Linked DNA regions of Arabidopsis thaliana. The protein of the gene in region 1 purifies or fractionates together with the protein of each later gene. This does not show direct contact. Each region holds a gene or a part of one and is shown on either strand. Other genes may lie near its edges.

The links.
Region 2: the proteins of AT1G49250 (region 1) and ATMND1 fractionate together in Arabidopsis thaliana (co-fractionation; one large-scale study listed by BioGRID). This does not show direct contact.

Annotation. Positions count from the first base shown.
Region 1 is NC_003070.9:18,218,972-18,225,116, reverse strand, and holds AT1G49250 (ATP-dependent DNA ligase), read right to left. Parts: upstream 4,585-6,145; coding exon 4,416-4,584; intron 4,327-4,415; coding exon 3,986-4,326; intron 3,738-3,985; coding exon 3,636-3,737; intron 3,562-3,635; coding exon 3,445-3,561; intron 3,351-3,444; coding exon 3,120-3,350; intron 3,015-3,119; coding exon 2,920-3,014; intron 2,916-2,919; exon of another isoform or gene 2,829-2,915; coding exon 2,741-2,828; intron 2,517-2,740; coding exon 2,391-2,516; intron 2,294-2,390; coding exon 2,181-2,293; intron 2,105-2,180; coding exon 2,003-2,104; intron 1,916-2,002; coding exon 1,854-1,915; intron 1,766-1,853; coding exon 1,694-1,765; intron 1,605-1,693; coding exon 1,531-1,604; intron 1,439-1,530; coding exon 1,382-1,438; intron 1,283-1,381; coding exon 1,205-1,282; intron 1,105-1,204; coding exon 1,027-1,104; intron 930-1,026; coding exon 861-929; 3' UTR 792-860; downstream 1-791. Other genes in the region: AT1G49245 (Prefoldin chaperone subunit family protein), read right to left, coding at 6,032-6,145.
Region 2 is NC_003075.7:14,381,294-14,386,269, forward strand, and holds ATMND1 (Mnd1 family protein), read left to right. Parts: upstream 1-1,542; 5' UTR 1,543-1,691; coding exon 1,692-1,694; intron 1,695-2,163; exon of another isoform or gene 2,164-2,258; coding exon 2,259-2,339; intron 2,340-2,523; coding exon 2,524-2,640; intron 2,641-2,749; coding exon 2,750-2,788; intron 2,789-2,887; coding exon 2,888-2,995; intron 2,996-3,076; coding exon 3,077-3,139; intron 3,140-3,220; coding exon 3,221-3,272; coding exon of another isoform or gene 3,273-3,277; exon of another isoform or gene 3,278-3,413; coding exon 3,414-3,458; intron 3,459-3,554; coding exon 3,555-3,634; intron 3,635-3,730; coding exon 3,731-3,835; 3' UTR 3,836-4,172; downstream 4,173-4,976. Other genes in the region: SNF7.1 (SNF7 family protein), read left to right, coding at 48-147, 226-311, 399-490, 661-775, 855-1,049; RHS16 (root hair specific 16), read left to right, coding at 4,338-4,416, 4,697-4,976. UniProt on the Arabidopsis thaliana protein: Required for proper homologous chromosome pairing and efficient cross-over and intragenic recombination during meiosis.

The DNA.
Region 1 (6,145 bases):
ATCATAGAGAATACGTTATCACCTAAAACTTGTGAGAAATATATAAGTTTGGATCACTTACAATCCATTCTTGGAGAAGTGGGCTACTTATCCTGATTGTCTCATCTTCCTTCTTTTCTCCGAAAAAGGTTTAGAGCCTTTAACGCGTCATGTCTCTGCATGAACCGAGAAATGTCACCCAACTCGATAAACCTAAGAGTCCGAAGGTACTTATATACCTTGATCAATTTCTAAAAGGACAAATACATCAAAGACATGAAGAGGAATCTTACTTGGATTCTCGTTTGGCGACATTACGGAATTTTCCGTAACGTTTGGGTTTAGAACGATACCTTATATGTATTTCGAAAGATACATTATAACTCAAAGGAGAGCTATACAAGGGTCTACACAAAAACTAGTCATTGGGTTCTAACCAAGGGGAAGAATGAGAAGAATAGAGACAAGGAAATGCTCCAAATTAAACAAGCTTAAACTCATTAATCAGCGTACTATTTTGGAAATGAATACGTAGTTTATTATATCAAAGACCAATGTTTCACAACATCAAGCATTTGATTAGCCCTTTGAGTGGCAGATGAGATAACGAAAAAAAAATCGCTTGTAAATGATGATCCTAGGTTGTTTTCTATTGTGCTAGATTGAGAATTGAGCTAGAAACTTTGTGGAATCGGGCCACTGGAATAGATCTATGGGTAAATGAAAAGTTAAAAAGGAAAAAGGAAACGTTGAGCCCAAGAAAAGTAAAAGCAATATGATAAACACGCAAATATCATTCGTTCATTACAATGGGTGCATACTGGTAATGAAAAAGAAATTTTGTCTGGAAAGATGCTCCGACAACAAATTACAGTCGTTGTTCAATCGTCGTCCACTTTGCCTTGATTGCTTGGTTGATTGTGTTTCTGAGCTTGATACATTTCAGCAATCTGAAAATATGCATCGGAAATTTATAAATTAAAAACAAAAATCAGAAACCAGCCTAGTCATGTCTATGATTGTGGTTAGGGTGAGAAGAGCTTTCACCTGGTCAGATGTTGTTGCTTCCTCTGGATTCTTGTCTTTCCGTATACGGACTAGACGAGGAAATCGTAGAGAAATTCCCTTTTAACCATAACAAACAGAAAAATGAAAAAGTCCAATCGTAAATGCAATAGCTCAAATGAAGAAAAATATAAAAAAAATACGTATGCTAATGTTGAACCTTGTCAGGGTCCACAATTCCAATAGCTTCACGATATACAGGGCTAACTGTCAAGTCAGCTGCTTTCACTTCCCACACCTTCAAGCAAGCATATTATTTAGCTTTGCATCAATACACTTGGACCCATAAGATAGAACGTGGACGTACGTTATCTACAAATATTACTATAAGGCATACCTCGGTGGGCTCCAACCAGACATCTGGATTGAGATCGTTATCGACTTGGTAGTATTGCTGGTTTATAATCAGCAAGAACTCTCAGGCAACATAACATATATGGTACTGCATCAAACAAATAAGCTAGAGAGAAGAAATAATTATCTTACTTTCGGAGTAGCAATCACTTTAGAGCAAAGACTGGAAGACAAATCTTGAAGCTCCACATCAGAAAATTCAGTACCTACTAGCCCAATTTGTAAACAAAAATGTAGGAGAGGAAATTGAGAAACATAACAAAAAGAATGAAATGCCAAGGTGCATTAGACTGACCAATTTTACAAATGCTCTGGAATTCTTCCTTATCAACATCGTAGCACGCTAGTAAATATGCACCAAAGAAACCTATAAGGAGAGCATACATATAGCTTCCGTTAACAACATCACTTGTGAAAAAAATGTATCATCTACACATTTCGAATGGTGTTTGTACCTGTGCGTTTCCCACGTCCATGGAACGTAGCTATTGGTACAAGATCCACGGAATCTCCAATGCTGCAGCATATATACCCTAGAGTTAGTTAGTAAAGGACTCTACTATCTTAACTTTTAAATTTTTTTTGTTTAAAAGAGTATTATTGCTTGTCCATATAGTCCTTCTTCAGTTTTAGCCAATTATTTGATCTCTTTGCAGGCTCATAGGTTGCATTTGAGTACAATGACTTTATCATTAAACCTTCACATCTGCCAAAATAACATACTTGTGATGAAGAATTGAAACATCATAGAGATTATGAGGCAGTGTCATATGAATATTTACCCTATGTCAATAGAAGCTTTAAGAAACTCTTGTAATTCACCAATATCGTTGGATGTTAGAGCAGTTGCAAACTGGAAATACCCAAGATCTTCCTCAAATGAATCGTGTAGCTTCTGGCAGAAGCAAGGTGCAAACAAATGATTACATATTTGCACAACACTAGTTGCTTCACTGATAAACCATTTTACGATTTACTAATATATGGCTTACCTCTCGGCGAATGTTCAGATTCTCATGGATAAGTAGTTGGCCATTTAGGTATAATATATCAAAAGCAAAGACGCATACGCCAACCTTGATATCACTGACATTCACATTTTTATGGGCTCGTGTACTCTAAGTCTGAGAAAAGAAAACAAAGAAAACAAGACATATAAAAACCTAAACTATCAGTAACTGTAACAAGTTATCTTTAAACTAATGTTGGCAAAAAAAATTGTTGTCAAATCACCAAAATCTGGTCTAGTAGAGCTTAAGCTTAATTTGATCGTTCATTGGCTAACAAGAAGAAAAACAAGAATGTTCATATTTGCAACCATAAAGCCTGGCTATTGAGGTACCTGGAGTGGAAGAATTTTCTCTTTTTCTCTGTTGAAGGTGACAACCTCGCAATCCAGAATAAAAGATTTCACAGTGGGCTTCTTTAACCTGTATAGAGAAGATATTTACACTAACTTCATTAGAAATATGGGCTCATTCTAATTTTTTCAACAAGTAACAACACAACAAACAAGTGCACCTTGATAACACAAGAGCAACATCAGGGTACTTGCCAGTGTTTCTTTCAGCATGTCTACTGAATATCTCGACTGTACCATCCTCCATATAATATATCTGCGAGAATAGATTGATGAAAAGCCAAACGTAGCAGCACATATAAATAACTTTGCTTTACGAATAATAGCATTCATCGGATAAGAGTAGAAAGCAATGGATCACCTGTGCACGTTCACCATCATATTTGTATTCAGCTGTGAAAACAGTGTCCTTGAATTTCTCAAGTATGAGATCTACTCTTGTAGTTGCTTTTGCAAGCATGGGCCTAACTGGAACACCGAGTGTGAGGTTACAAGTTTTAGGAAGATTCCATACACCACTAGTTAGAAGAGCACCAACAATAATGTCATAGACAGGAAGCATTGAGAATACTTCTTTAACAATCGTTGCAGCCTACAAGGACAGACAACAAGGTAAGTTGTGACGTCTCTAAAGGAATACTGCAAATAGAGCCTAAAGCCACAAGTAACATCCTTGAGAAGCAAACCTCATCTAAAGGATTCTTGATATTTGGGGGCGGCTTAGAATGCTCTTCGTTATATACAGCAGCCTGTCCCAAGGCAGCTAAAACAGTTTGACGTGAGAACCCTAACCGCAAATTATCCTGCATTGTAACGGAATAAGGAACACAAAGGAATGAGCAGATTTTTTTTTTTTGTAACAATTGATCTAACATACCTGAAGTAAACGAGTTAAGTAAAGAGGTTCACAATCTGTAGTTGCCACAAGAAGTGCCTTCATTAGATCCTTCTTCTTATCCTTACTACCTTTTCCAGATTCCTAACACATAACATAGTCCAACAACTAATCAAAAAGAAAGAAAATTTAAAGCAAACACAAGAAAGTGTCTAAGAGAATCACCAACCCCACTCCTCTAAACTCTATTATAGAGCAAATTTCTCTCCAACCTACTTTTGTATCTCACTCTAAAATAAAGTAAAAGAGAGGATTGCTCTATATTCAGAGCAACTATTTTTACTACGCTCTATTTTAGAGTAAAAAAAATAGAGATAGATGGTCTAAAATACCTTAGCAATTAGGCGAAGTGTATCAGCAACCTTGACAACAGTTAATGGTTTGGGCATGAAAATCATAGTCTGAGAGGAACGGCTCCCATTTGCTACAAGCCCCAAGTCTCCCAGTTGCGTATATTGCTGCTCAACGTGGGACTCAGTTCTACCAAAAGCTTCAGAGATTGCCTTAATAATGTAGGAACCCTTACCCATTCCCAATTTAATACCTTCATGAGCAGGGGCAATCTCATTTGCAGCAAGATAAACAGTAGGTAGCAAATCATCAGGAGTAGTGGCGATAACGGTTCTCAACATGTTACACAGAATATGAGTGATGACAATCCTGCCACTTTCAGCTGCAATCAGATCAAAAGCTAAGGAGAGAAACATAAACGGAACTCTCTCCCGTTTCTCCCAACAAGACACTTTTCCGGATCGAAATCACTTGGCTTCTTCTTCAGCAACCCAATTTTGCTCTTCAGTTTGGTAACCCTATCTGATTTGGGTTTTTTCGAATCAGAAATAAGAACTAGGGTTTTGTCATCAACCCTAGTCGGTGGCGTATCTACGGTTTCCTCGAGTTTTCTCTTCTTCTTGGCGGAAGCATTCGACATGAGAACGTCAAATGCAGATATCACTATGTTATAAGCAAGAGCTTCTCCAGAAGAGTGGAGAAGAGAATCGATTGACGAAGAGAAGAAGATAAGAGCGAGATTATCCAACCCTAGCGTATCTAGAAAGTTTTCTGTTTTAGTATGATTTTTATTCCATTACATTCATGGAGCCAACCTGAAATTATAAAAGAAAAAATTAGCTTCATTTATTTAACCTTTGTTTTGTGCTAAGAATGTTCTACCACTTTGATTTCAATGGTTAACACGTAAGAGTTATGCATCAATTCCTCTGTTTAAATCCGATGTAGCAGAATCATAACCTACTAGAAATCCGGATTAATTGCTATTAGAATTTAGTGAGGTATTGTATTTATTTTAGCAACCATATTGCGGTCATGTAATTTAAATTTTTGATTGGTATTGGATGTGCAGGAAGGCATTGTCCATATGATTGTTACAACACATTTTCTGTGCCGTGGAAGCTAAACATCATCCTCGTATTTATTCATTTTGCAGCCAAACTCTTACCATATGCTGCATCTCTGGTGAGTAGTTACTTCAGGATATGTTAATTGCCAAAATTGAGGATGAAGCTCTACTCAATCACTTCAACCTAACTCAAATCCATGGGTGTAGGTAATTTCACAAGATCTTAATTTGCTTGAATTTTCATATCTCTCAGGTTGGTGTGATGAAAATCAAGATCTCTCGTCTGCTAACTTACTTCTCTGACCAGGAATGGCAATGCAACTAGCACATGAAGTTGTCACTAATGCCTCTGTGAATCTAGACCCAACATATGTAGAGGGGGTTTGATGCGGTACCTAGCAAAAATCTGTCGCTTACTAGTGGAGCTCTTCTTCAGGCTTTCAGTAAGAAAAAGAAGCATTCAACTAATTCAGGAATTGACGCAGAGAATTCTGCTTTTGAAGTGGAAGATAAAATCTCTCGAGGCACTGGAAGCTCTTCTCGTGGAGGATGATGACTGAGTTCCAAGTCTTGAGGAAGATGATTATCTCTCTTCTGATTCTGATTCTGATATTGAATCTTAATGCTAGACAAAAGAGTTGACAAATCTGTCCTAAAGAAAATGTTTTCTGTTTCTCAAGGTAAAAGAAAATGTTCCATTGAATAATTCCAAACTAAGGCACTAACCCTGACTATTCAGTGGCCATATAGTGTTACCAAGAACAAGTAGTCTCAACACTAGAATCAGCTATTCAGATAATCAAAATGTAAAGTGATCAAAGTAAATTCAAGGTGAATTAAAATTACTATCAGAATTAGCTGATTATCATATCAAAATCAAGTAATTTAAAGCAATTCCAAGATAGTTCAAGATCATACACGAACTAATGAAAATTTATATAGCATCAATAATCAGAGATACATCATAAAAAAAAGGAACAGCCTTGTTGGATCTTCAGCAACTAGAAATCTCCATTGTTTATTTCTGCGAACGAATCTTGTTGATTTCAGATTTAGCGTAATCAAGTTGTTTCTGCGCAGAGATTTTCGCTTTCTCGGCTGATGTGAGGAAGAAGAGGTTACCGTTTTTCTG
Region 2 (4,976 bases), on another chromosome or scaffold:
GTTTGCTTTTAAACCATATTCAAATTTTGTTGATTTGTTCATTGCAGACGCTTGAGATGCTAGAGAAAAAGGAGAAAGTACTCTTGAAGAAAGCTGGTGCAGAGGTTGAGAAGGCAAAAGAATACTCCCGGGCTAAGAACAAACGAGGTATGACCTCTTATTTATTATGACTCATGTGTGTTGCTAATCACTGGAGTACTTAAAAGCTGTATTGGGTTTTTGCAGCGGCTATACAGTGTTTGAAAAGGAAGAGGTTATATGAGGGACAAGTCGAACAGCTTGGGAATTTCCAGCTCCGTATTCATGATCAAGTGAGTTTGTTTTAAGATTGTTAACTATAAACTATATAGCAGTAATTAGATGAATTTATTGGGATCTTATATCTTTTTGTCATACAGATGATTATGTTAGAAGGTGCAAAAGCAACAACCGAAACTGTTGATGCATTGAGGAGTGGAGCTTCTGCAATGAAGGCAATGCAGAAAGCAACGTAAGTGTTCATCACATTTTCACCATATTACTCTTTACTACCATTTTAACCGTCATCAGTTCTGGGAATCGTTAATACGAGCTTGGTATTCAAAATACTTATGCTTTTCTTGTGCTTGAATGCTTTAACATTTCTAGTGCCTGACTAACTCAAAACACAATATTTTGCAGAAATATTGATGATGTGGATAAGACCATGGACGAGATCAATGAGCAAACCGAGAACATGAAACAGATCCAAGAAGCATTGGCGACTCCAATGGGGGCAGCGGCTGACTTCGACGAGGTAACTTTCTTGTACCCAAATGATCATATATTTTTCAACTAATAATGACTTTTGTCTAAGAAAAACTTCTCTTTGATAGGATGAGCTTGCAGCAGAGCTTGATGAACTAGAAAGTGAAGAGCTTGAATCGCAACTTCTACAGCCGGCAACAACAGCTCCTCCATTGCCTTCAGTTCCAGTGCCTGCAGGGCGTCAACCGGCTCGTCCTGTTCCCCAGAAGCGGACTGCTGAGGAAGAAGAACTCGCTGCATTACAGGCTGAGATGGCCCTCTAAGGTCTCTTCTATCTATAATCAAAGCAAAATCAATCAATTTGCTTACAGACTATGGATTTGTAATTTAACTAGTTTTGCAATTGGCTTGGTTTAACTGCAGGTTATTCACCTCTCCGAGCAGAGACATGTATGCATTGATAGACACGAACAGACGATGTATATAAGGATCTGAATCAGATTAATTCGGAGCGAAAAACTTTTATAATCCCCGTCGTTAATGTTATCTGCAATTTGAGTGTTCTTCACATAATTTATCTTTTGTAATTTTTGTATCTTTTTATGACACTTTTTCCTTTGGTTAATAATCACTTTACTCCTATGTTCATCACTTTCGCCTGATAAGACTACTCATGAATAGTCAACCATATACGTTGACTTCGCTGCTTTAACAAACATCATGCCGTTTTGGTACCATAAAATTGGACTCCGTGTCGTTTTAAGGTTAAATTCAAATTAATTGGAATAAAAAATGAAACAGAAAGCGAGGGATAATAACCCGCTTAAGTTTTCAAGGCTTCTTCTACAATTCTCTCATTTCGAATTTGATAAAGAGAGGAGACGATAGTGAGGGAAGAGAGTGAGAGAGAGCTGTAGCAGTGTTTGAAATCCTTTGGATTGCATCACCAGGAGCAAGAGATCACGATGGTAATATACTCTGGACGAATGTTCTCTACTTGTGATTTTGTTTCGCTAATGAACCTCTGTGATTTGTGCATTTTCCTGGGAAGATCGAGTGATTATTCTCTATGATTCTATGAATCGTGATTATCTTACACTGATGATCTTAGCTTGTGATTCTTCGACTTACAAGAGAATTTTGGATGTATTGATTCGACCTATTTGTTTGAATGTTTAGTAGTCATCGTTATGTGTTTCTCTTACTCTTCGAAGAAATTTGTTTAAACTTATCGTTCATCGGTAGTAATGTTTCTATCTTCCGTAGTTCATTACAAATTTGTGTGAGGAATTTCCGCAAACACTTGGACTGCATGACGCGAATCGATAGGTTCTCGAATTAGCATTTATCTAGCAGCCAATTCTCGCAATCAGTGTAGTCGCTGAGTTGACTGTATATATTTTTGACATTTTCGATCTGGAAACTATTTGTTGACAGATCATTTGTTGGATTTCGTCATTGAAGCTCTGAAGTTTTTTTTCGTCATTCTCGTATCAACTGAATCGCTGCTTTCTATTGTTGATGATATTCAGTCTAAGAAACGGGGACTTTCGCTGGAGGAGAAACGAGAGAAGATGCTTCAGATATTCTATGAGTCTCAAGACTTCTTCCTAGTGAGCACTTTCTTTAGTTTTTACAACTTGCTAATTTTTGGACGCCTTTGAACTAGCTTTATCTACCAAGTGATCTGATATCTAGAGTCGTGAAGTGCATATACTGCCTAAATTTGTTGCTATTGAACTTTTGGGTTTGTGATACAAGCACTTATGGGTCTCTACTTTTGTAAAAAAATTTCAGCTAAAGGAACTTGAGAAGATGGGGCCGAAGAAGGGTGTAATTAGTCAGTCTGTGAAAGATGTTATCCAGAGTTTAGTCGATGATGATCTTGTTGCGAAAGACAAGATTGGAATTTCTGTGAGTAGCTTAGTGTTCCTATGTTGGATCTTTTTATTTCATTTGTTGCCATATAGTCCTTGTCTCTGTTATATGTTGTTTGACGGTGTTCATTATTTTGCAAATGAAGATCTACTTTTGGAGCCTTCCCAGCTGTGCTGGCAATCAAGTGAGTCACCGTTCTGTATCCTGAGATGACATCAAAAAGATTCATATTAATTTGAGCATAGCGAAATTCATTGTTTCTGATCTCATTTTGAATGAACAGCTTAGGAGTGTTCGCCAGAAACTTGAATCTGATCTTCAGGGTAGTAACAAAAGGTTAGCAGAACTTGTTGATCAGTGTGAGGCCCTAAAGAAGGGAAGGGAAGAATCGGTAAGTATTTTCAGTATTGTAGAATTAATGCTCGAATAAGCTTACGTGTGCTTTTCACCAGAATTGCTGTTCTTGCTGCAGGAGGAACGAACAGAGGCCTTGACGCAACTCAAAGATATTGAAAAGAAACACAAAGATCTGAAGGTCAGATTATACAGACTATCTGTTTGCATAGAGCTATTCACATGCTTAACAAGTTGCTAACAGTTTCTTCTTCTTAAACAGAACGAGATGGTACAATTTGCTGACAACGATCCAGCTACTTTGGAGGCAAAGAGTTAAGTTCTGCATAATACGTTACTTTTGTTTTGTGTTAGATCTCCTATATGGTTTTCCCGGTCTTCGTGGAGCAGAAATAAGAATCAATCTTGTGCTTTACTAGCTGTATCAATGTGTATATTCCTTCTAATTTTGACAGGGAATGCAATTGAAGTTGCTCACCAGTCGGCTAACAGATGGACAGGTATTTCATTTCTAAAACTTGGGAATGTGTTTTCAGTTTTAATACTTACGTAATTTTCACTGCAGCCTAGATTATAATTCTTTCAAACTTACTCAGATAACATCTTCACACTGCGACAATGGTGTTCAAACAACTTCCCCCAGGCCAAGGAACAGCTAGAACATCTATACACGGAGGTATCTTCCAGATCTTTTCACTTCAAAAGGCTATAAATTCCACATTTCACATTCTCATACATGAAGGAGAGACTAAATCAGCTGGGTAACTTTCAGGCGGGAATCACTGAGGACTTTGATTACATAGAGTTATCATCATTCCCTTTGAGCTCATCCCATGAAGCTGATACCGCAAAGCAGCTAGTACAAGATGAAGCTTAGTTCTAATACTCTCCAGCATAACAGTTAAAGAAACAATAGCTTAAGTAAAAAATCTTTTCACTATCCTTTTAAGTTTTCTGGTTTTAAAGGTTGCAACAGTCTGTAATTCTCTATGTGACCCAATCATCTAATGTCAAAACTCGGTTACAAATTCTGTGGTCAGAAAAGATTTTTATTTTCTTTGTATCTGTCGGCTATGTCCAAGCTTGGCTATGTTTTGTTATAATATTTTATTGGAGTTATATATATATCATGCGTTAGTTGTTGACCCACTGGTTACTTCTTGATAGCTGTATTACCATTTTATATTCTTTCTTGGCCGCTTTTTTCAGTCGTGAGCAGCACTTATGTTATACACCTCCAGGTCAATTTTGTTGCTACCAGAAGAGGAAATGGGCATAGACTTTGTACTTTCTAGTCTTTTGTGTTTTTGTGTTATCTTAAACGCAGGTTGTCTGTTTTTCTGACGATGATGAGCTGAGCTTTACAAAATAAGAAGAACATGGGAGCTCACTCTGTTTTTCTCATCCTTTTTTCCGTCATTGCCATTGCCATTGTAGTACATGGCCAAGGCCAAGCAGGTTCGTGAGTCTCATTCTCGCTTATTTTCCTCTGTTAGAGTCTGTTTTGATTTGAAAATGAGCAATCTTCAGACCAAAGATTTTTGAAGTTTTGATATATGTGGTTGCATTTTGGCCAAAACCGTGTTCTGATTATTGGTTTGACATGATAAGTGAGGTCCAAGTCTGTTTCTATGATTGAATGCTTTAGGTTCTAAAATTTAAACCTGCATTGGAATTTTGATGAAAATTTTCTCAACGTTGTAGAATTAATCAAAACCCTTACCTTCTTCTGGTCCAGGTTTCATCAGCATAGATTGTGGGTCACCCCCTAATATTAACTATGTAGACACTGATACTGGTATCAGTTACACCTGGGATGCACCTTTCATCAACGCTGGAGTAAATCTGAACGTCTCTGAAGAATACGGTTACCCGAAAAACCCGGTTTTGCCTTTCCCGCTTGCTGATGTAAGATCTTTTCCTCAAGGAAACAGGAACTGTTACACCTTAACCCCCTCCGATGGAAAAGGGAATCTTTATCTCATCAGAGCTTCGTTTATGTATGGAAACTACGATGG